Drosophila melanogaster: one gene and its partners. The gene in region 1 interacts genetically with each later gene. Each region holds a gene or a part of one and is shown in the gene's direction. Other genes may lie near its edges.

Region 1 (7,931 bases):
TATAATATAGAAAACATACATATGATATGCTATATCACAAAGCGATTTTCTGGGAAATCTACGTCTTATAAGGATATTTAAGGATTCAGCACAAGGAACTGGCTTGTTGAGTTATTAGCACCTTTTTTCAAATGTTCTAAATAGTAAGAAAGTATTTGAAAATACTTTAAAGAGGGGTCAAAGCTCACAGCGTTTGTGCTGCAAACGTCCAGCACTTGACTTCCCAAATTCGAGGGACTCTAGGTTCACCCAATTTTACGACTGCAGGGTATTTTAAATGCAAGACTTTAAGTGCGACTCACCTTTAAGAGGGACTGGCATTGGTATTGGTGTGCGAGTGTCTGGCTGCCAGCGGCATTGGTATGCGTGTGTATCTGTGAGTGCTGCTGCTGCTGCTGTTGCTGCATCTAAAATCTAGATGATGACGATGGAAGCGATGCTGCACATCCTGGCGGCCATCTTTTCGACTGGCTAAATTAACTTTTTGAGCCGCCTCTCACATGTTGTTTTCTCCGGCGTTGTTGCTGTTGTTGTTTGTCGATTAACACTTCGTCTGCATGGTTATATGTATATATGGATATATATGTAGGAATAAATTCGTTTAGACGTTTTTTTTTTTCAAACGGTTTTACGAGCGATTTAATATTGTTAAATTGATTTACTGCTGGCCGTGCGCACAAATCAAGTTTTTTTGGCTTTATGATTCGTCGAATACGGAATAAATAAATAAATAAAGCCAAAACTAATCGACGGAAGCCCCGAAAAAAAGCTTTTGAAAGTGGCCCACGCAGGCGGCAAATAGCAATAGTTGAGAAATGAGATAAATAATGGCAAAAAATCCAAATTAAAGTGTAATAAAAAAAAGAGGTCTAACCACTTTTTATTTTTTTTTTTTTGCCTTCCACCAGCCGAACAGCTGAAAAAACACAAAACTGTCGACGAACCTTTTGGCCATTTGCAGCCGGTTTGCAGGGGCAGAACCAATTAAAAAATAAAACCAAAAATAATACAAAAATAGTAAAGAAAACTTTACAAATCAAAAGTAAGTAGGGGTAGCGCAGAGAAAATTAAGGAAAATCCGAACCAGTTGCAAAGCGCCAGCAGCTGATCCACCGGAAAAACTGAAAAGCGCGTCTACACAACCTGAGCAAAGGACCTGCAGCCGGGCACTGAAATTCCAGGAGCAGACCGCCTGCCACGGACGTCAACTTATGTAAAGCCGACTGCCGACTGCCGACTGCGAACTTCGGCCCACATCGCGCTGTTCACCGCCCGCCCTCCTCCACCATCGATTCACATTCACATTTTCCCATTTTCCGGCATTACTGCCGAAGTAAGTGCGTGCGAGCGAGACGCCAGCAATGCAATTTTGCGGGCCAAAGTCAGGCAGTTAACCAGCAGGCTGGTCCGCTTTTTCCTCCTCTGCTGCTCCTGCTGTTTCTTCTTCTTCTTCTGCCTGCTTCCTGCTGCCTGTGGCTGGCACATCTGTGTGTGTGTGTGTGTGGCGCCTGCGCACTGAGCGCACAGCTGACGGCGGTAGGGACCAGGACCGAAGTCCTTCAACATCGGGGAGGGGCAAAAAGCTAATCTCGGAAGTTTCAAGTAAGGTATCATAAAAAATCAAGCTCTTTAGCGTTTTTGGACTTTTACTATTTTGTTTTATTCATCTTCTGGTTAAGAGAATATTCTGCTATAAGAACTTTCAAAAAATTTAAAAACAATGCAAACTATAAGATATTCAACCACAATTGTATAAGCCACGTGATTTTAACAATCACATAATGCCTAGACACACAAGTAACCAAACTTGAGGTTGACAAACTTTCAGCCACCTTATGTAACGTGTTGCTCCCCGAGATTTTGACCGCCCAAGCGTGAACCGTCCCTGTAGTCAGAGGTTTAACCTCTGTTGCTAGGCGCCCGACGCAGTCCCTCCACTGCCGACGCCGGCAGAGCTGCGCCGACTGCCGAGCCAGCTGATTTTTGTGGCAGAGCCGAGGTGCCGTGGAATGGGGATTTTCCCGAAAAGTAACGGCTCTTTCGGGAAAAACCGTTTTCCGTATTGATTTCGGGGGGCGCTGCATGTGAGCTTCCCATAAACCAAATATGCATTCTAAAACGCCCGATGAAAGGAGTAGTTAGCTGCAGTTGGAACGAAGGAGTGGGGAGGGGAATCGAATGAAAAGAAGAAGAAAACAAGTTCTGGGCGCACAGTGGGGCAAGCTTAGAACTGTAGTGACCACTGTGCGGCAGCAGTTGAGCTTCTAGTTTGCAGTAAACGCTTCGGTCTCTCTCTCTCTCTCTCTCGCTCACGCAGGAAACCTGTTTTCGAGAATCGTTTTTTATAGCTTTTGCCACTTGCCACCAGACCAGGCCAAAATAAAAAAAAAATAAACAAAAAGTATTTCACAAGTTTTGTTTGCTTGCTTCTTTGCTGTTTGTGTTGTTGTGGTTGTTGCTGCGCTTGCTAGTTGTTTCGCTTCTGTTTATCATTTACTGTTGTTGCCACCGTTTGGCGTTTACCTTTTGCACAATCTTCGTTTACATGAAAGCGGCGACGACACGCGACCAAAGGCACACACACATTCGCACCTACACCCACACACGGACGGGGAACGCGGACAGACACACGGATACGTGAACGCAGACACGAGGTAACGGTAACGGACAGAGAAAGCGAGCACGTCCACCCGCAGCAACACTCGATGAGCATCTGACGAAGTGTTGCCAGGTGACACAACTCAGAGCGTCTTAACGAGTTTATCACTAAAAAATCCGAGCATGTTAATAATGAGCGCGCGATTCAAAATGGTTGTATTTTAACGTATACTCAAATTATCACAGTAAGCGATAGGCAAATTTAAATCAGTAGATAACCATAGCAAATGGCCCTATCCAGCTTATTAGCATAGCAACAAAACAAGCTTCTGATGTAAACAGCTTATTTGTTAAATATATCAAATTTCTAATAGTTTTCATTATAAATCTAAAATATCAAATGTGGCAACACTGGTTCCATATGATAAAGGTTGCCACCAGGCGTAAAAATATTTTCGTTGAAGTGGACGAGGGCTGCAAAATAAAGTAATTTTGGCGCCTTTTTTGAATTTAAGTGTTCAAAAAAAAATTTATGTAAATGAACGAAGAAGTACACAAGCTCACAAAACAAAATGATTTTAATTTTAATTCAATTAAACAAATTCTCTTTAGAGTTTAAAATATTATTTTGCAATAGCTTAATTTAAATAACATAAATAACATTTGTATTTGCTGTATACCTTATGCGTAAGTATCAATAATGTTTAAATATGTTTAATTAGCTGAAAAGTAAGTGCTGTTGCCTAAATAAGTTTTATTTAATGAATCTAACTATTATTAATATACTATAGTGAATACGATGAGTCATTGTATCATCTCTCGTCAATATCAGTATTAACGCACACGAAAACTAACGCATTAGAAAGATTATCTCTTTTTATGATACTGGTCACTCTAAGACTGAAGTACATTTGTATATGTGGTGAGAAATCGGGTAGTTTAAAAAAAACCACCAAGCGAGTTGGACGCGTAACTCTTTGTAACGGATCTCGGAACGCCGTGGGAGTCGGAAAATCGCTGGACGCGTGTTCGTGCGTTTGCATGTGTGCGTGCGTTCGTGTGTGTGTGTGTGCTAATGTGCGAGCGGGTGAGCGAATAAAAATAAATATATATCGTCAAGTCAGGCTTAAGAAATGTGCGCTAATCAAAGAAAATGCCCCCAATTCTGGCCAATTGAGAATTGTGGCTAAACAAAAAATTCGACCGGAGTTCAAGTGAGTGCCAATTGCGGAGACAAAATGGCTGCATTTCAACGCATTTAATTTACTGGCAACACATAGCAAACGAGAGTGAGAGAGAGAAATGTAGAGAGGCAATCCGAGAAGCAACATAAAAGAGAGAGCATGAAAGAAGTACAAGACGAGGCACACGAAAATAAGTAAACATGCAAAAACATTGTTAAATTAGCCCTATTGCGAAGTTAAACTACACATAATACTATTCACGAAAACATTTTTCTGTTTAATTATTTTGAAACAGCATTGTAAACAAATCGATTTGTTGTTCTTTTGTGCCAGCAACAACAAGCGTTTTAAAAGCAACAATAATTAATTTAATGCATTTTGTTGCGTTTGCGCCGCAGCTGTCGCTCTCTCCTTTTCCGTCTTCCGTCGCTCTTTGTCGTCTCTGTTGCATCTCCCTCTCTTGCTCTCCTCTCCGCGCTTGCTCATTGCCTCTGTGTGAGTGCAAAGGCCAATAGCTGTTTTTGTTGTGATTTTATGTTTGTTTGTATTGCTAATGTTTTGGTTTTCCAACTATTCATAAACTTATTAAACAAGAAAAAACGCATACCGAACTTATGAATATAGCGTAAATAGTAAAAAACATAATTATAAAAAAAACAATAAAACAAATAAAATTGCCTATTTTTATATTTAAATAGTATATTTTTAATAATATTAAATCAATCAAAATGTCTCGCTCTTCTGCCTTCAGAAATAAACAATCCAGTGAATAAACACACAAAATCAATCAAAAAAGAAGATTTTTCTTTTTTATTTTCGCTTTTAATTTATTAACGAGAAAATATTGGAATAAAACAAAAATAAAAATATAAGAAAAGTGTACGTGACAAGAGCTCGAAAAGAAGTTGCAACAAATAGCAAAAATAATTCGTGCGTGCGAAAAAGTGCTGCGAAGTTTTATGGCCCATGCAAAAAGTGCTAAATTTGTAAATGGCATGGAAAGTGCAAAGCTCTGATTAAAAAACCCGCGAAGATTGGAGTGCGAGGTGCCGCCCAATAACGCAACCAACTACTGCCACAAGGAAATTATTAAGACCAATCAACGACCTTCGCGGAAATAAAAAAAATAAAAAATAAAACAAAAGCAAGCAGAAATTTGGTGCTAGTTCTGTTTAGTCGACAGCCATCCACGTTGGATCCCCATCGCAAATAATGTCATCAAAATGTGCTTTCAACATTGTATTCGTATCGATCATTTTCATCATCATCGTAAATGGTAAGTTCGAAAAACTAACATTGATTAACAATGTAATCTAAATGGTTTCCGTTCCTATTTCATATAATTTTTTAAATATTTTAATTTAAAAATACATAAAGCATTGGTGTTTTTTTTCTGCACTTGACTCACTGGCAACCGAAGAAACCACAACAATCGGGGCTTAAAATGAAATACAGCCGAGGGTGCTGCAAATGACGCATAGACAATAACATTGGAATAAGTGCTCAATCAGGCGGAAACAAAGTTAACATTTTCACCCAGAACCCTTCGAGCAACAAAAATAATTACGTACTTTGCCAGGATAATTGACGAGTGAAGGATATTAGGGGGAAGGGGAAGGGTATCGTTTTGAGGGTGGAACACAGAGGGTTTCTTATAATTTTAGTAGACACTTTGGGTAATTGTCTTTGGGTTTTCTCGCCTCCCTAACTATGCTGTGGGTGTATTTTGTTATTAAACAAATGGGGTTGCTTTGCATAATTAATTTAATTTCGCTATTGTCACTCCAAGCGAATTGACAGAATGATTTTCTTGTGACCCAGAGTGTTTGCTTTCAGCAATATTCTCACTTGCAGGTGCCAAGGTTTCAAACTCAACCGACTCTAATAACAATCTATATAGCCGTGAATGTACTTTTTTTACACTTAAGTTAGCTACTCATATATGTATGTATGTTCATGTAAATATACAAATTCAGATTCTACCTATTTATTTCCACAAAGCAAGTCCATTGTTGGGGCAAAAAGAGCGAAGAAGGCGAAAAGCATAAGGTATAACGTGAGTCATGAAAACCTGAGTAAAGCTCAGGGGACTCATCCATTTTTATTGTGAAATCGTTAGCTTGGGTTTAACAAAAGGGGACTTACAAAATTTTAAAACTATATACTTCGGTATGAAACACACAGTAGGAATGAAACATTTAGCTTATACATCTACATATATAAATATATATATCAGAGTTGTGCTACTTAATTTATGAATATATTGTGTTTTGTGATAAAAAAAATGTCGTTACTGCATTGAAGACCGTTTTTTCGCCACTTCAACTAATTTGTTTGCATGGCAAGATTTTCCTAAGTTCAACGTTACGAAATTCGAGGCGGGGCGAGGGATCATGACAACAACTTCCACTCTTGGCTAATTAGCCAAAGTCAAGCAACATGAACATGGGTAAAAGAGTGAGGATTGAGGGCCAAGAATCAAGCCAAGAAGAGTGGCGGAGGCAAAAACTGGTTTATCCACTTGGCCGGCTAATCTGACAACAAAGAAAGAGAGCAGACATAAGAACCGAGAACCCAGAAGCGAGGCGAATAGAAAAGGCCAGAGACAAACAAAAAATCTGCGAAAAAGGTCAATGTCTCGGCATTATCTGTCTGGGCTGCACAAACCATATTATAATGATTAAAAATGAAAAAATTATAAAAAAATATATATATATATATATGCAACAGCTATCGGAGAAGAGTTTTTCTCCCACAAATAAGCAGCGGAAGCGAAAGAAATATATAAACCAAAAATGCTGTGAAAAGCAACAGTTCTGAGATACAGTAACAAGATACAGCTGGGAATTAAGATAAAGATACTGTATCCGTATCTTAGTTTCAGCTTGAGATTGCGGCTACTTTTTACGTAACTTATCTGCAGTTTTTTGGTTTCGTTTTTTTTTTTTTTTTGATCTTGAAAGAGACAAAAAAAACTTGAAGATTCGCTGACGAGTGAAATGAGTTTCTAGAGTCACATCTGGGTTTTTCCGGATTTTATTATTGTTATTGATAAGCTGTTGACTAAAAGTTGTTTCAAATATAATTTCAGTCGGGCAAAAAGCTTTCATAAATCACATATAGGAGATGTGGGAGAGTTTAGGATGGGAGGAGAGTTTAGGATGATAGGGCCCAGAGAACAATGGACACTTTGCCCGGGCATTTATGCAATTTTCCTTTGCTTTATTTCCCGTACGTGCCGAGTGCAACATAGTAAACAAACAAATAATGAAGCCACCATCGAAATCTAGAGATGACAACGTGACCGTGGATGAAGAACTTCGTGCTGTTTCATAATATACTCGTACAAAGAAAATGACCCACAAAACTCGTGGGTTTATTTGGTGAATCCGACCCAGATGATAGACGCGTTTGTTCTGTATTTGCCGTCGTATCTGCCAGATACAAATGTATCTGTCATTGCAAAGTGTGTTACTATCACCAGGCGGCTGACATTTATTGTTTGCCGAGTGCCTCTGCCAAATAAATGAAATAAAATGTAATAAAAAAATGAAATGCATACATGTAGCATTTATATGCGAATGTATACATGCGGTGAATAAATCCCTTAAGCTTGTTGAATGACTGAAGCGCCTGGCACTTCAAATTGATGAGTAGCTTTAATGAAAGGGCGTGACTCGATGTAAATTGCCCTCTTCTAGGGCGCTGCACATGCAGGGAAATGTAAATGGCTTTTCCGAGGGTGAAAGCATTGGTTGAATCGACACAAATGTCGTTATCCTGGCAGGTGAAATTCGTGTTGGCAATTTCCGTAACCGACTTAAAGGTTTTTGCGTGCGCATTTTAATATGCCAATTATAAACATAATCCGCCAAATCTTTATCTGATATATGATTTTAGTATATTTAAAATGGCATAAAATATATGGACGTTAAAATCCGTTTTTTGAGACATTACTAATTATTCTAGATATGGGCTTAGCACTTCCTTTGGGAAAGTGAATAATGTGTGCTCTTGAAACCTTCATTTCCACCAGGAAGCCCAAAGTTAGCCACTAAAAATGCGCTTAAATTGGATTTTATGTGAGTATTATGCTGCCTCATTATGCCAAATGGCCTAAATAACAATCAAAGCGGGACTCGCATGACA
Region 2 (7,252 bases), on another chromosome or scaffold:
AGTCCAGCGTTGAGGTTCCGCTCCGCAACAAAGGCGCAGATCGTATAGCCAAAGATCATGCCGCAGGGCAGGAAGCACAGGCAGACTGGAAGTGAATGAGACGTAATCTCTGGACAAGGATCTCCATTGGCGTGGCTAACTCACCCACATAGCTGGGCGCATATTTAAAGAACTTCAGCACCAGTTTGCCCCACACATTCGACATTTTTGCGATAGATTTGCGTTAGTTAGTCCAGCAGCAGGGAGAGGAAGGTTCGTCTATCGAAGGAGCTTAGAGCATTTTAGCGAGCAGCTGGAATGGAGATGCCTACGATGCGACGCCGGACAAATGGCAAATGGGCCGGTGGAAGTCCGGCGGAGAATTCGACTGCGACGAAGGCGGCGCAGATAAGGCGATAAGATAAGCCAACCCGACCCGACCAGGTGCATGTGTGTGGTGGCCATGGATACACGGGCGGAAAAGTTGAGGGTTTGGGATTATCTAGCCATTTCTCCGCTCGGGTTCATGAATTATGATAGTCAAAAGGAAATCCGATTATGTTGCGCATCTTGTGGAGAAATTCGTTGGTTATAGATCAATGTTTTTTTTTGTACCTGAATGTATCTTTTTTTGAGCAAGTATCTATCTATGGCATTACTCGAAGTACTATATTTCCCATTTTATGTAAATATTTTTACCCCAATTTATATGATCGAATTTCCTGGCGCTTTTTTCGCCAGTGTATCCCAAAGTGAGTGACTAATGCCGCAGTGGAATAAGCCACTTGGACAGATAAACAGATGTCCGCCGGTTGATAAGCTCCTTGGCAGTTGGCCCAACTGAGGGCCCCTACTATTTACCACGCTGCCACGGAAACGTACAATTTTTTGGCCTTTCATATGCATAAGAAAACAATGTGGCAAAGGCCATTGGGCCATTCCAACGATAGGGCTTAAAACTAATCTCAAATGGCTAATGGTGATAGGAGTACGGGCAATAGAACGTCCGGCGATAATGCTTGGTAAATTGATTTCAATCCAATATTAAATGCCAGCAAGTACTTTATCAGACGCAAATGGGGTGGTTGGGTTGTGGGTGGGTGGTTGGTTGCCAAAGTGGGTGGGGGTAAGTTCTTGGTTAGTTTGTTTACCTTTGAGCGGAAAATTGATTGAAGCCGAGAGCAAAAAAGAGAGAGAGAGAGAGTTGCGACAGGAAGTAAGAAAATAAAAGGCCGTATACGAAAAGATTATGGTCGAATAAATATTAAGATGGCATTCCCAGCCTACATAACAAACTATATACATATATACATTTTTAGAAATAATAAAAAATATTAGAAATACTACTTAACGATTGCGTTTTTGGAGTACATTTTATCATGTATTCGTTGTGAAGTTAGAAATTAACAAATCAATAATGTCTATTATTATTGCTTAATATAAATATAACTTTATCAGACTTGGAAATTAATTACTAACTTAAGTGAAATACTTATTTATTAAGATTTGATTTGTGTAGAAAGCAAAGATTTCGTCAAACCCTCACAAAGCGGAAATTCTTCAGATTTTAGTATCTTTTGATTTAACTATATATGTCTGCTTTCTTTCTTAAAGACATGATGTGATAGCAAGCTGTCACTACATTAATTATCTGCTACATTCAAGACTTGGCACTTCTTTCGGGCAGTGTACATTTGCGACGTCACACCAACGGCGATTCGACGAGCTGGCGAGAGAGCAAGCAAAACGCTCAGTTGCATAAGCGTCCCGAGACGAGAGAGGATGTGTCCAATGCGCCTGTGCGCTTCCCAGGCGCAACCATGACACGGCCGCTTCCCCCACCCATCCTGTCATCCTGCACAAACGGAGCCGAACCGGCGGCCCAGGCAGCGCTTATCCGCTGGCAGGGCACCCCAATGTCTTGGCCCTGCCTTATCCCTGGCTTTCACTTCCGCAACTCGGCTGCGACGACAGCTCCGGCACTTGCAGGCCGAACTCGTAGCGCCAGCACCACCCCAACCACACCAACCACCCACCAGCCACCTAACAGCAGCAGCAACCACCAGCAACTACCAGCAGCTCCAGCGTTGCGAACAGCCCCATTCCTTCAGTTGACTTCGCGTTGGCGGTAGCCGCCAGCCGCTGCTGCGATTGCAAATCACAATCGGAATCCGGATGCTGCAGGCAGTGCTCCGGGGCGACTGAGTGGCAATGGAATTTGACGGAGCGCTCGGAACCGATTATACCGCCAGATGCGAGACACGGCAGCCACTAGCGCCCAGCCAGCCATGATTGTGATGAGCATCTGGTGCAGCAGCCTCAGCCTGAGCAGCCGCAGCCTGGCCATCGCCCTGGTGATCTGCGTGACTCTGGTCTACTTCTCCTACAGCTTCAATGCCTGCCTCCTGGCCAGCATCAGTCGCAGTCTGCAGCAGGTGAATATGTCCACGAATCACTGGACAATGTCTAAGTGTAGGGGCTAAATGTATCCAATATCCAATGCATTTATTCATGAAAACAAACTGATAATTGGAAAATCGAATATAAAGTTTCGCTACACACATGTGTAAAGTGGAGCCAACTCAAAATTAGGGGGGGGGGGGGGGTTGTAATAATCCCCAGCGGTTTCAAAACATTTAACAAGCTGTCCAAAAGTGTGCTGTGAAAAGTTTAAGTTTTGTCTTTCGCTGAACTTTGCGATGCTATCTACATACATATATACGATTATATATATGTACATTTATAGTTGCATACTTTTCGGCATACTTACAAGTTGGGCATTTTCATAAGCCAATATGTTGATATGTTTCGCACGATGTGTGGCATTGACCTCTGACCTCTCCCGCGCAGAGCAACTTACGCAATCTACTGGCGCTGACCTCCTCGCCCCGCAACGAGACCAATAACGCCGCCAACAGCAGCAGCAGCAACAGCAGCAGCAGCAGGAACAGCTCATCCACCACCGGTGCTCCGCCGGCACAGACGGTTACTAGCAGCCTGGATGGGGCGCCCAAGTATCAGCTGCTCCGTCAGCAGGGGCTCCGACCATCGCGCCACCTGCCCGACACGCTCATCATTGGCGTGAAGAAGAGCGGGACGCGGGCGCTGCTCGAGTTCATCCGCCTGCATCCGGACGTGCGGGCCGCCGGTTCGGAGGTGCACTTCTTCGACAGGCACTACCAGCGGGGACTACGCTGGTACCGCCACCACATGCCGTACACTATCGAGGGCCAGATCACCATGGAGAAGACGCCCAGCTACTTCGTCACCAAGGAGGTGCCGCAGCGCGTCTACCACATGAATCCGGCAACAAAGTGAGCTTTTCTACATCAAACCTATTGTGATCATAATCGTAAATTGTTACTCCATCAGATTTGATAGAACTTAAAAACGGTCAATTCTTAAAAATGATATTTTTAGAATACTGCACTTTATCCACAAGACTGTATTTAGTCATAGCATACTTTTTAGCACCTATAATAGAAGTGTTGAAAATTGAAGAGAGATACTTTTTAAGGCCGATTTGATATCCCTTAAATATTGAAACCGTACGTAAATCGTAGCATACTATATAATAAAAGTGTTTCAAACGCTTAGCTGAGATTTTTAAGGCGGATATCCCTTAAATATTGAGTCCTTTTAAATATGTGCTTTATACACAAGACTTTAGAACTTGTTTTAGGTTTTATCATACTTTTAAGCACCTTAAGTGAAATGGTTTTCGGAATACAACATTCGATTTGATCAACATAGAAGGGATTAACATTATATTCTAAATGCATTATGCGTTTTACATTAACCCTACGTATCTGGACCATCAATCACTAGCATATCTTCACTTAACCTCAATTTTATACGCCCGTAGATTACTGATTGTGGTGCGGGATCCGGTGACGCGGGCCATCTCCGACTACACACAGGCGGCGAGCAAGAAGGCGGACATGAAGCTCTTCGAGCAGCTGGCCTTCGTCAACGGTAGCTACTCGGTGGTGGACACCAACTGGGGCCCGGTGAAGATCGGCGTCTATGCACGCTATCTGGAGCGCTGGCTGCTCTACTTTCCGCTCTCGCAGCTGCTCTTCATCAGCGGCGAGCGGCTGATCATGGATCCCGCCTACGAGATTGGACGCGTACAGGACTTCCTCGGTCTGAAGCGCGTGGTCACCGAGAAGCACTTCTACTTCAATGCCACCAAGGGCTTCCCCTGCCTCTTCAAGTCGGAGGCACGCTCCACGCCCCACTGTCTGGGTAAGACCAAGGGGCGCAACCATCCGCACATAGATCCCGGGGCCATCGAGCGCCTCCGGGAGTTCTACCGGCCCTTCAACAACAAGTTCTACCAGCTGACGGGCATCAACTTCGCCTGGCCATAGGATCCACGGCTGGGTGAGTAGACGGAACTGGGATACGTGCAAGGCTAGTACCGAAATGGATTGGATTGGCCAGAGGCTAGGCACCTTCACTGATCTGCTCAATTTACATATCACATCCATCCCCATTGGAGTATGCTTGACTATCCCTAAGCCCTAATCCCTAATATCTGGTATCAATTTCCGTTTCAGCGGGCGTGAAATGAATGGAGTTTGAGAATAGGAGATATTGTTGTTGCTGGCCACGGCAACGGACTGATATTGTTGATTGCATTTTTGATACATATAATTGTACTTATATATAGTATATACACACACACATAAAGTTAGTGCTCAATTAATTGTAGCTTTATCAGGAGACAAATTCAACGAAGTGCGCAACCTGAAAAGTCCGCACTCAAACAATACGGTTCCTCACTCCAATTCAATTCAAATGAAATGAAATGAAATGAAACTCACTTTTCCCACTATACTCGAATGTCAGGCAGTTGGACGTGGAGGAGCCACGTTCGATCCGAGATGGACATGGTTCCCCCGTCCGCTGGGCACACACATTGCTATGTACTACCACTACCTAAGATCATTATACCTAAGATCATTATGTGCATTTATATACAAGAATAGTGAAAAAATAGAGCTTACTACGAAATTCCTACAGTCTCCTAAACTAAACATATACAAAATATTGTATGCATAGTTCCAACAATTTCAATTGCATGACTCAACCAATACGATTGCTTAGCCAATTTCAATTAAAAAACAAACTAAATAAATCGACCTTAAATCTAGTCAGCCCCTAAGAAGATTGTTATCTTTCCATACGATTTTAAGTAAATAGCACTTGCTGGGTTTAACTTTTTCAATTTTTATAGTTTATTGATTTCATTTCATTTTGGTTTTAAAGTGATTGTGAACGATTCACGGTATGCTTCTTGCTTTGTTTTCAACAATAATGATAATTTCTTGGTTTAAGGTTTGTGTGGTCTTTTTGCTTTCGCCTGCCACTGGGTCTCTTTTAGTTTTAAGTACATTAATTAAATAAATTGCGGTGGTTTGTGGTTGTTTCTTGTTGCTTCAAGGCAATTATCCAATTTGCTTTCGATCTGCTTCTATAAAATATGTTGGTACACGCTACATAAGAAAATTATATATTATTTTTTGGGATTTTTGTCGTTTGTTGGTTTCCTGCTTACGGTTATGAATTTCTTTAAAAATAACTATGCATAAGTGGTGATCGTAAAAGTAACTATGGTAATAACTTTAATTTTAACAAACTAGTCGAAAATAACTTAAATCCTATAGTACGGATTGCCTTAATCTACGTAGCTACATGTTCTTTGATTTGATATATTACATTTATCCGATTGGTTTCGGTTTAGGAAGGCGGGCGGCCAGTAAACGAGATGTAAGAGTAGGCAGTGCGTCCCCATTGGGCTACTTCAATTGATCTTCCGCCAGTGCGTCTAGGAGTTGTCACGCACAGTTGTCAGTCCCACACCACCGGATGCTCTTCTCGCCTTCGCCACCTCATCGAGGACCGCTTCCGATTTGGAGCTCTGCAAGCGCTTCTCGCAGTACAGGCTGCCCACCGGCCTGGCCATCGATGCCGACAAGCTCTTGGTCACAGTGGAATATCTTAGGGCTGACGAGGAGTCATTGCTGCCACCGGTCCGCTGCATAATTGGCAGCGCACTTGTATTCACATCTGTCTGAACCGTGGGCTTGGACTCGATTAAACTTTCGATTGGTGGAGGCGTTGGTGTTCGCTGGCTGCGATTCTTGATGGGAAACTTGTTCTTGGTGCAGCTCAAATCGAGCTCCAGCGTATAGAATCGTCCGCGTGTGAATTGCCGGTTTTCATTCTTTAGACTTGTACTAGCATTATCAGATGCGCTTGTCCCAGCACCAGCGGAGTTTGAAGTTGCCGCACCTGGCACCAGCTGGCTTGCTGTGCATGTGCCAATGCTGCTACGATTGCTGTTTCCTGTGGGCAGGGCTGTATGAGCGGTGGTCACCGAGCTGGCCTGGGTGCCGGCTCCACTGCCGTCGCAAACATCCTCACCGGAATCATTTTCGCCATCGGTACTGGACAACGAACTCTCCGTATCGTCAATGTGCAGCTGGTTCCGGGCCTTTGCTTTCGTTTGAGCATTGGCCGGTTGATCGGCAGGCGATGACTTGTTTATCCGTGGCGACTGGTCCATCAGCAGGTTCTCCCAACTAGTCTCATAAACGCTAGCCAGTTGGGCCGCCGGTTTAGGCTTGAGAATCGTTTGCTTAAACGGCATGGCCTGCATTGCCGTGGGGGCCGTGGCCTCTGCTTTTTCCTCAGCGGAAAACTTACGTGCCCCGATTATGAGCTGAGGCTCCACGTAGAACGAGTCAAAATTAAGGTCCAGAAAGAGCTCCTGCAGGAAGCGGCGGGCTATCATCCGATAGCTACTCCGGCCTATCGTTTTGCAGGCCTCCGAATAAAGGCAAATATCCTAGAGATAAAAACGTGGTAAGTACGAACCATCATTTGGATTTCAAATGAGTCTCACCTGAAAGGCGTGCGGGTGTTTCTGCTTAAGCTCCAACAGAGCCATTTTCGACTGCTTGGCACTAACGGGATTGGCCAGACGCTGCACGTTGTACAGAATGGAGGCCGTAAGCCTGTCCGGCAGGCTATCCTCGCTCAGCATGCTCTCTGGGGAATGGAAGCTGATGTCGGCGCCAAGTGCCGCTGAAGCTCCTTGGGCAGATGAGCCACTCTTTTTAGCCAAAACTGGTCCAGCCTGGATGCCGGCTGCCACCAGAGCTGCTGCTGCACTGCTGTACAGCTCGCAGGGAGCGAGGGATGCGCCTCCTCCACCATTACTATGGCTGCCGCTGTCATTACGCTGCTGTCGCGGGGAGCGGGC
Region 3 (6,156 bases), on another chromosome or scaffold:
ACGTTTCAGCTTACCGTGCACTGCCACGCCAGCCGGCTAAGTGCGTTGCGCAACTAGGTGAAATGTGCGTTGTTGTAGGTGTATAGCTCCGTGTCTGTACCAGGCTCCGTTCCTAGGTTTATGCTTTCCTGAGGCCTAGCAAGTAGGAGGCGGCGTAAATAAACAAATGTAAGAAATCTAATTTGTAGCCGGTAAGAAGATCAGCTGTGCGGCACAGAGTTGCCAGTCGCTGGGAAGGAAAAAATGAACATGTTAAATAATGTCGAAAGTGGTTTGCAACTTGGCTAAGGGCCAAGCAATAAGTGATGTGGATAGGAAATTGGGTGGTTGGTGGTGGGAAACTTGGATTTGGTCATATCTTACATCTTACATCTTACATCTTACATCTTACATATCGACGCCATCTAGTGCAGATTGGCTTCACCATTAGAAAAAGTATATAAACTCTTGAATCCATCGAGGAAAACAAATTTGAATTAAGTTTAGTGGTTTATAAAAACTCGTGCATAGGACAGCCTTTTGAAGACGGTGACCTGTGCGAAATTCCCTTGGGAGTTTCCACCTAGCGGTGTGCATGTAAACTAACTAACAAGCACTCCGCCAGACACTCTTGGTTCGCCCGCGGAACCAGTTCTCCCTAGTCACTTCTGTCCTGCTTGTTCCGCTAATACCACTACCACTGGAAGCACTGGTACCATAGTGCAGCCCGGACAGCCAAAAACATTGTCACCCCCGCGGAAAGCGGAAGGCCAGTTGCTCGATTCGCCCTTAATATCGATCCCGGGCACGCGCTCTGCATTCTGCGCCCGAGTTCGACTTTCGCAGTTCGCACTTTCGGACGTGGACTCGCAGGATTGCAGGCAACGAGACCACTCGCAGTCGTTTGTGAGCGTTCGCAGCGCCAGGTATAGCGTACAGCCAGGGCTCCAAAAACTCAGCGCTTTAGGGGCTTCTTCGGGCCACCCCATCTGACCACTCCCCGACAGCTTGGGAAGGCCAGGGGCTGCTGGCCAGTGGCTCTTGTCGTTCTCCCGCTCGGGCGGAGAGGTGGTGGCCGAGGAGCCACAAGCACAAAACCAGAGACACACATTGAGAGACCGTCAAATTTAACCAAAACAAGCTCAATACTTTTTTTTGCTGTTCAAGTGCTAAATAGTGCTAAAAAAGAAACCCAACAACAAAAACCATAGAGAAACATCCAAAACAAAGTGATACAAGTTCGGAAAGAAAAAGCGAAGCCGATGCCAATAGTGGATTTGTGATGCCAACTTAGCTGGGGGACAATAAGCAGCGCACCTGCGCAGAATCAGTGAGAAAGGGGTTGGGAAAGTGCGCAGAAGCCCGACGGATACGTTCCAAGAGTGCGGGAAGGGGTTAGCGAGTGGGTGGATTTGCGTGGGAACTGCCAAGACAGGAGACAGGAGACATGGACAAGTGACATGGGACGTGGAACCCGACGACTGCAGCTGACAACTTTTCCAGGCGCAGAACGGCGGCCATAGTGCCACTCATATTTTCCGTTTCGGGGAAGTACAATCTCAGGACCCCGAGAACCAGCGAGTGGGTATGACAGGACAGATAGCAGCGAGTACTCTCGTAGCTTTGCCTTATTTTTCTTTTCTTCCTTTTCCTTCAATTCCCTTATCCGCCCCCGCCCATCACGGACTCTCTCCTACTACGTTCCACAATCGAATACTACGGCCACTCACATACAAGCCACACGCACAGAGTTTTCCGAGTTGACATTTTCCGTGCATAGGTTTCTGGGCATCGGCGAAAGGAAAAGCGCTGCGCTGTGGGCAGCTAACTTGGGCACCGCAAATCGAACGAAATCGGAGTACGAACCTTAGAGCGCAGAAATCAGAAAACAGAAATCATAACCCAGAACCCAGAAAGTTAAAGGCTGAAACGAAAGGCCACAATTCCGAATCGCTTGCTAATGAAATTTTTTTGTGTTTTCGATTTCTTGCTGCTGCTACCGTCGTCCGCCTGTGCAGCAAAGTGTTAAACGAATAGCCAACAAAGCAAATACAATTAACCAGAACTGGAAGCACGTCAGTCCAGCCGCAGAAGCAGCTAAGTTCAGACCAAACTCGGAGATTCCCAGCCAGGAGATAGGACCAGGAGCCAACCAGACGAGGAGCAAAGAAGCAGAAAAGAGTGCGAACAATGTGCGCCGCGCTGCGTCGTAATTTGTTGCTGAGGAGCCTCTGGGTCGTCCTGGCCATTGGCACTGCTCAGGTTCAGGTGAGTCACCGAATCCCCACCACACCACACTACACCACACCACACGACATAACAACACACCACACTACAGCACACCACAACACACCACAGCACACCAGACCATTTCACTCCACTTTCGATACAATACTCGATGGAACGAAGGAGTAAGTCGAAAGAGCCGAAACTCAGAACAGAAACACAAACCGAAAATGAAACTGACAGAGAACACTGGGAAACTGGGCAAAACTGCACACTAAAACATTGTTTCGTTAGGGCTTTAATCGGGATGACAAATTGATTTAAACAGACAACTCGACGCTCGATGTTAGCCACGCATTGAAGCTGATAGAAGTCAAAACAATATTAATTCGGTGTCCGGGGAAGACAAGTAGGTCTCCAGCAATTAGGGACTTGTGTTGTTGCGCTACTGCCTCATCTGGCTTACTGACACAACACCCAACTTATGTATAACTTGAGTACGGCTCACAAAATAGCAGTGTGGCTCTATACTTTCTGCGTGCAACAGCAATACCAATCGCAACCGCAACCCACACACACAGGCACCCACACTCTCGCACACACACAGAGAGCCAGATACACAAGCACACAAGCACTTGAGCGGGTTTCTGTGGGATGTGGTGGCCGTCGGCTAAGCAGCCGCGCAAAGTATGCTACGAAAAATGTGCCATCGCTTAGCAGCGGCACTAAAGGCTCGAGGGCTTGAAGGCGGGAAAGGGTTGGGGATTGGGGATTGGGGATTGGGGATTGGAGATTGGGGATGGGTATGGGATGGGGATGGGATGGGGATGGGTGATAGGGCTGCCAAATTACTTGCGAGTGTGCGCAAGTATTGGCTTAATTGAACCGTTTGCTTGTCGCTGGCTACTGGCCAACTGAAAGCCGAAAACCGAAAACTTGAGGCTAGAGGATAGCAGCAGCTGGCTTCGACTAGCAATTTGCATATAAAAGTAGCGGAGGTGTTACCGAAACCAAACAGGGCGTGCAGACATTTTGATTTTGATTTTCTACACGCAGCGACTGGCAAATATCGTAGAAATGGAGTGCGGGGCCGGGTTATGCGTCCTTCGGTTGGGGTTTAAGTCCGGCTAAAAACTATCCGGCTCTGTCTGAGCATAATCCCCAAATTGGTCTGGGGCTGGACCTGCATTCACCACGAATCCTCTTGTTCAGGTCAATTCATCGACTGGCATACGTGCACGCACACACCTACCGACAAACCAAAAGGGAAGACATGCGTTACTAGGATATTGTTAGCTTTAGCTAAAGTGTTTTTAAATCATTTGCAAACAATTTTTGCCAGGCGGCAGCTCTCGTTCTTTGGGGCCGATCCACAATCGCCGACGTGCCTGACCTTAACAATTTTGCTTTACTTTCTTGTCTCTTAAATACCTCGGAGCAATTTTCCCTTGGCAACGCAGAGCGAACAGTCTTCTGTGGCGGAACAAAAACCTAATAAAATCCATATTCATGTGGAGACAGACCAATTGAAAGAGAAGAACCGAGGGGCAGCACCTCCAAGGACCCAGGAGCCAGGAGTTCGGCCCAATCCCGGACAGGGGAGCAGTTAAGCTGCTTTATAGCGCATTGCACTCCTTTCATGTCTTGCTTTGTATGCAGCCTGCAATTTGCTTTGCTCTCCATTCGTTCATTCACTCTCCACCCATCTTACCCTTAATTCGGCTATTCATGCTAGACCGTCGCTGCGTGCAATTCATGGCAGGACTAGCCTGGACCTGGTCAGCCACTCACCCACAGGTCCACCCTTCAGCTTCGTTGTTATCAGGGGCACGCATCGCCGACGTCATTTTTGTGGTGGTCGTTGATTACTTATGTCGCTTGCACCCACCATTCCCACCCTGCTTGGGACAACTACTGCTAAAGCGTTTTAATACCTTTTGCTTCGTGTAACTTTAATATTGGATCATTTTTCTTTGTGAAAAATGCTAGCAGTTGGTTGCAATATAACCCACATTTTCAGTAAAAAAAAAACTGTCGGCAAAGTTCTGTGTGTTTTAAGCGGGATTTCCAAAGTAGTGGTTTCCTCCAATGTTGTAGTAATGCATTACCAACTAGGGACTTTTTTTAAAAGAATTTCTGTTTTTTTGTACCCTGCCCTCCCCAGTTGCTCACCCGTTTTGTAGCTATCTCCTTTCTGCTTGTATTCTTTCTGCCCTTTTTCACTCTTTTTTTATAAGGACATGTCTGAATCATCCAGAAAGCAGGGAGGGATTTGCGGACTGCAATGTGCAATATACCCGAGAATCTCCCCAAACACTCGATGCCAACGATGTGTCTCCCTCAAACCTGGCAAACGGAACACGCAATCGTTGCTGCCAAACAGCCCATTCAAAGTCCCTTTTTACAGAGGCCTGGGGCTTTCAAAGGGGATGACAGGAGGGTGGAGAAGGGTGGCTGGGAGTCGTTGGCCATTTGATTGTCGGGTAGAAACTGCGAACCGACGGCCAACTTTAGTTGCACACCATGCTTCTTTGGCACAACTCCCCCCAATTTCACTGGAGTCAACTGAATTAGTCAGTTCGCTGCTTGCTGACTGATAGAAGGCAGCGGCGCAGTTCAGCTCTTCCCGCCCCCCACATGAGTCACCCACTGGGAGTGGAATGATTCATTCGGGAATGCAATGCAGTCGCCGCAACGGAATTTCCCACAGCCGCAAAACTTTTCAGAAATTCCGGGTTTCGCTTCGAAAATGCATCCATCTAGTACTCTTTTTAAATGCTTGTGCATCCCAACCAAAAGTGAAGCATCAAGTATTTGAGTTCATCGTTTTGAAAGCAAATGGCTCGCCAACTAGACGGTGCAACATGTGCAGGTAGAACCTTATCGATAAGCTGGCCAAAGTGGATACTGCCTATTTCCCCAGATACCACACTCATTCCATGGGAGTGGAGCAAGAGTATCTGCCTTCGGGGTTCGCCACATTGGGTTCAGCTGCAGAGACCGCAGTTCGTGATTGGGTTAAGTTTAGGATGCAATTGGGTTTGTAGCTGGTCAGCCATAGTAAGTCATTTGAGCAGCCGCATCTCTCATCCACTGACTTGTTCGATCCGTACTGCCAGCCAGGTTGCCCAGTGCTCTGTGCCCAGTGCGACCCGATTCCATTGTCATTTGTCAGTTTAAGAGTTGTCCACGTCCTGTTCATCGTTCATTAGTTGTGGTATCGATGTCACACACATGTATGCTTTGCTGCAGGGGATGGTGCGGCGGGTTGATACGTAGATGAGTGGTTGTAACTGTGCAGTGACCCCAACATCCCTGATATTCCCCACCAGAGCCCTCCTTCTTTTTGTCGTCCTTCGCCACTCGCTTGGTTTTGTTTCGTTTCGTTCCGTTTGGTTGCCTTGGCGTGGCTTGGATCGGCTTTTATTTTGGCTCGGATCGAAGGTTTAGGTTTACGTAGTCGTGTTTGTGTTCGTTTTGTCCTGGCCGTAAGAGTCCTCTCCCTTCGAGCACTCGCCCATTCCTGAATCCTGTTACAAAGCATTTACGCTTCAATGGTTTTTTTCGATTATGCATTTTGCTCATTTTCATTTCACCATTGACAAAGGCACTGGTCAAGCAGCTTGGTGGCTAGGCAGCTAAGCAACTAGGCAGCCAGGACTTTGGCTAATGTGTTCATTGTCTGTGTCAGAGTTGCAGGAATTAGGGTTAAGTGCTACTGCCCAGCTGTGCTGTTCTGTGTCTGCCTCTAGGGCTCTTAAAATCGCAGTTCACCTTCGAGTGGCAAACAAAAATGGGTTGTGAGTTGGGCGGTGTCATTTTATGCTAGTTTAACGTGGGTAAACGTGGGTCAACAACTATTATCCACTATCCAGCAAGGTGACGACTTTCCAGCCCTGCTGATAAGGTGAAATGAAAATAATACGATAACCCTTCGCTGATAATGCTGAT

The links. A genetic interaction does not mean that the proteins touch.
Region 2: of kuz (region 1) and Hs3st-B, changing one enhances a phenotype caused by changing the other (phenotypic enhancement), as found in Drosophila melanogaster (one study listed by BioGRID).
Region 3: of kuz (region 1) and Appl, changing one enhances a phenotype caused by changing the other (phenotypic enhancement), as found in Drosophila melanogaster (one study listed by BioGRID).

The regions. Positions count from the first base shown.
Region 1 is NT_033779.5:13,546,609-13,554,539, forward strand, and holds the start of kuz (kuzbanian), read left to right. Parts: upstream 1-3,530; 5' UTR 3,531-3,685; exon of another isoform or gene 3,686-3,812; intron 3,813-4,533; 5' UTR 4,534-4,994; coding exon 4,995-5,058; intron 5,059-7,931.
Region 2 is NC_004354.4:19,246,910-19,254,161, forward strand, and holds Hs3st-B (heparan sulfate 3-O sulfotransferase-B), read left to right. Parts: upstream 1-1,729; 5' UTR 1,730-2,231; coding exon 2,232-2,414; intron 2,415-2,829; coding exon 2,830-3,293; intron 3,294-3,844; coding exon 3,845-4,352; 3' UTR 4,353-4,365; exon of another isoform or gene 4,366-4,541; 3' UTR 4,542-5,136; downstream 5,137-7,252. Other genes in the region: CG7992 (uncharacterized protein), read right to left, coding at 1-85, 145-205; rictor (rapamycin-insensitive companion of Tor), read right to left, coding at 5,813-6,835, 6,893-7,252.
Region 3 is NC_004354.4:529,630-535,785, forward strand, and holds the start of Appl (beta amyloid protein precursor-like), read left to right. Parts: upstream 1-1,540; 5' UTR 1,541-1,560; intron 1,561-1,997; 5' UTR 1,998-2,169; coding exon 2,170-2,247; intron 2,248-6,156. UniProt on the Drosophila melanogaster protein: During development, plays a role in the regulation of the neddylation pathway. Appl and APP-BP1 interact antagonistically during development.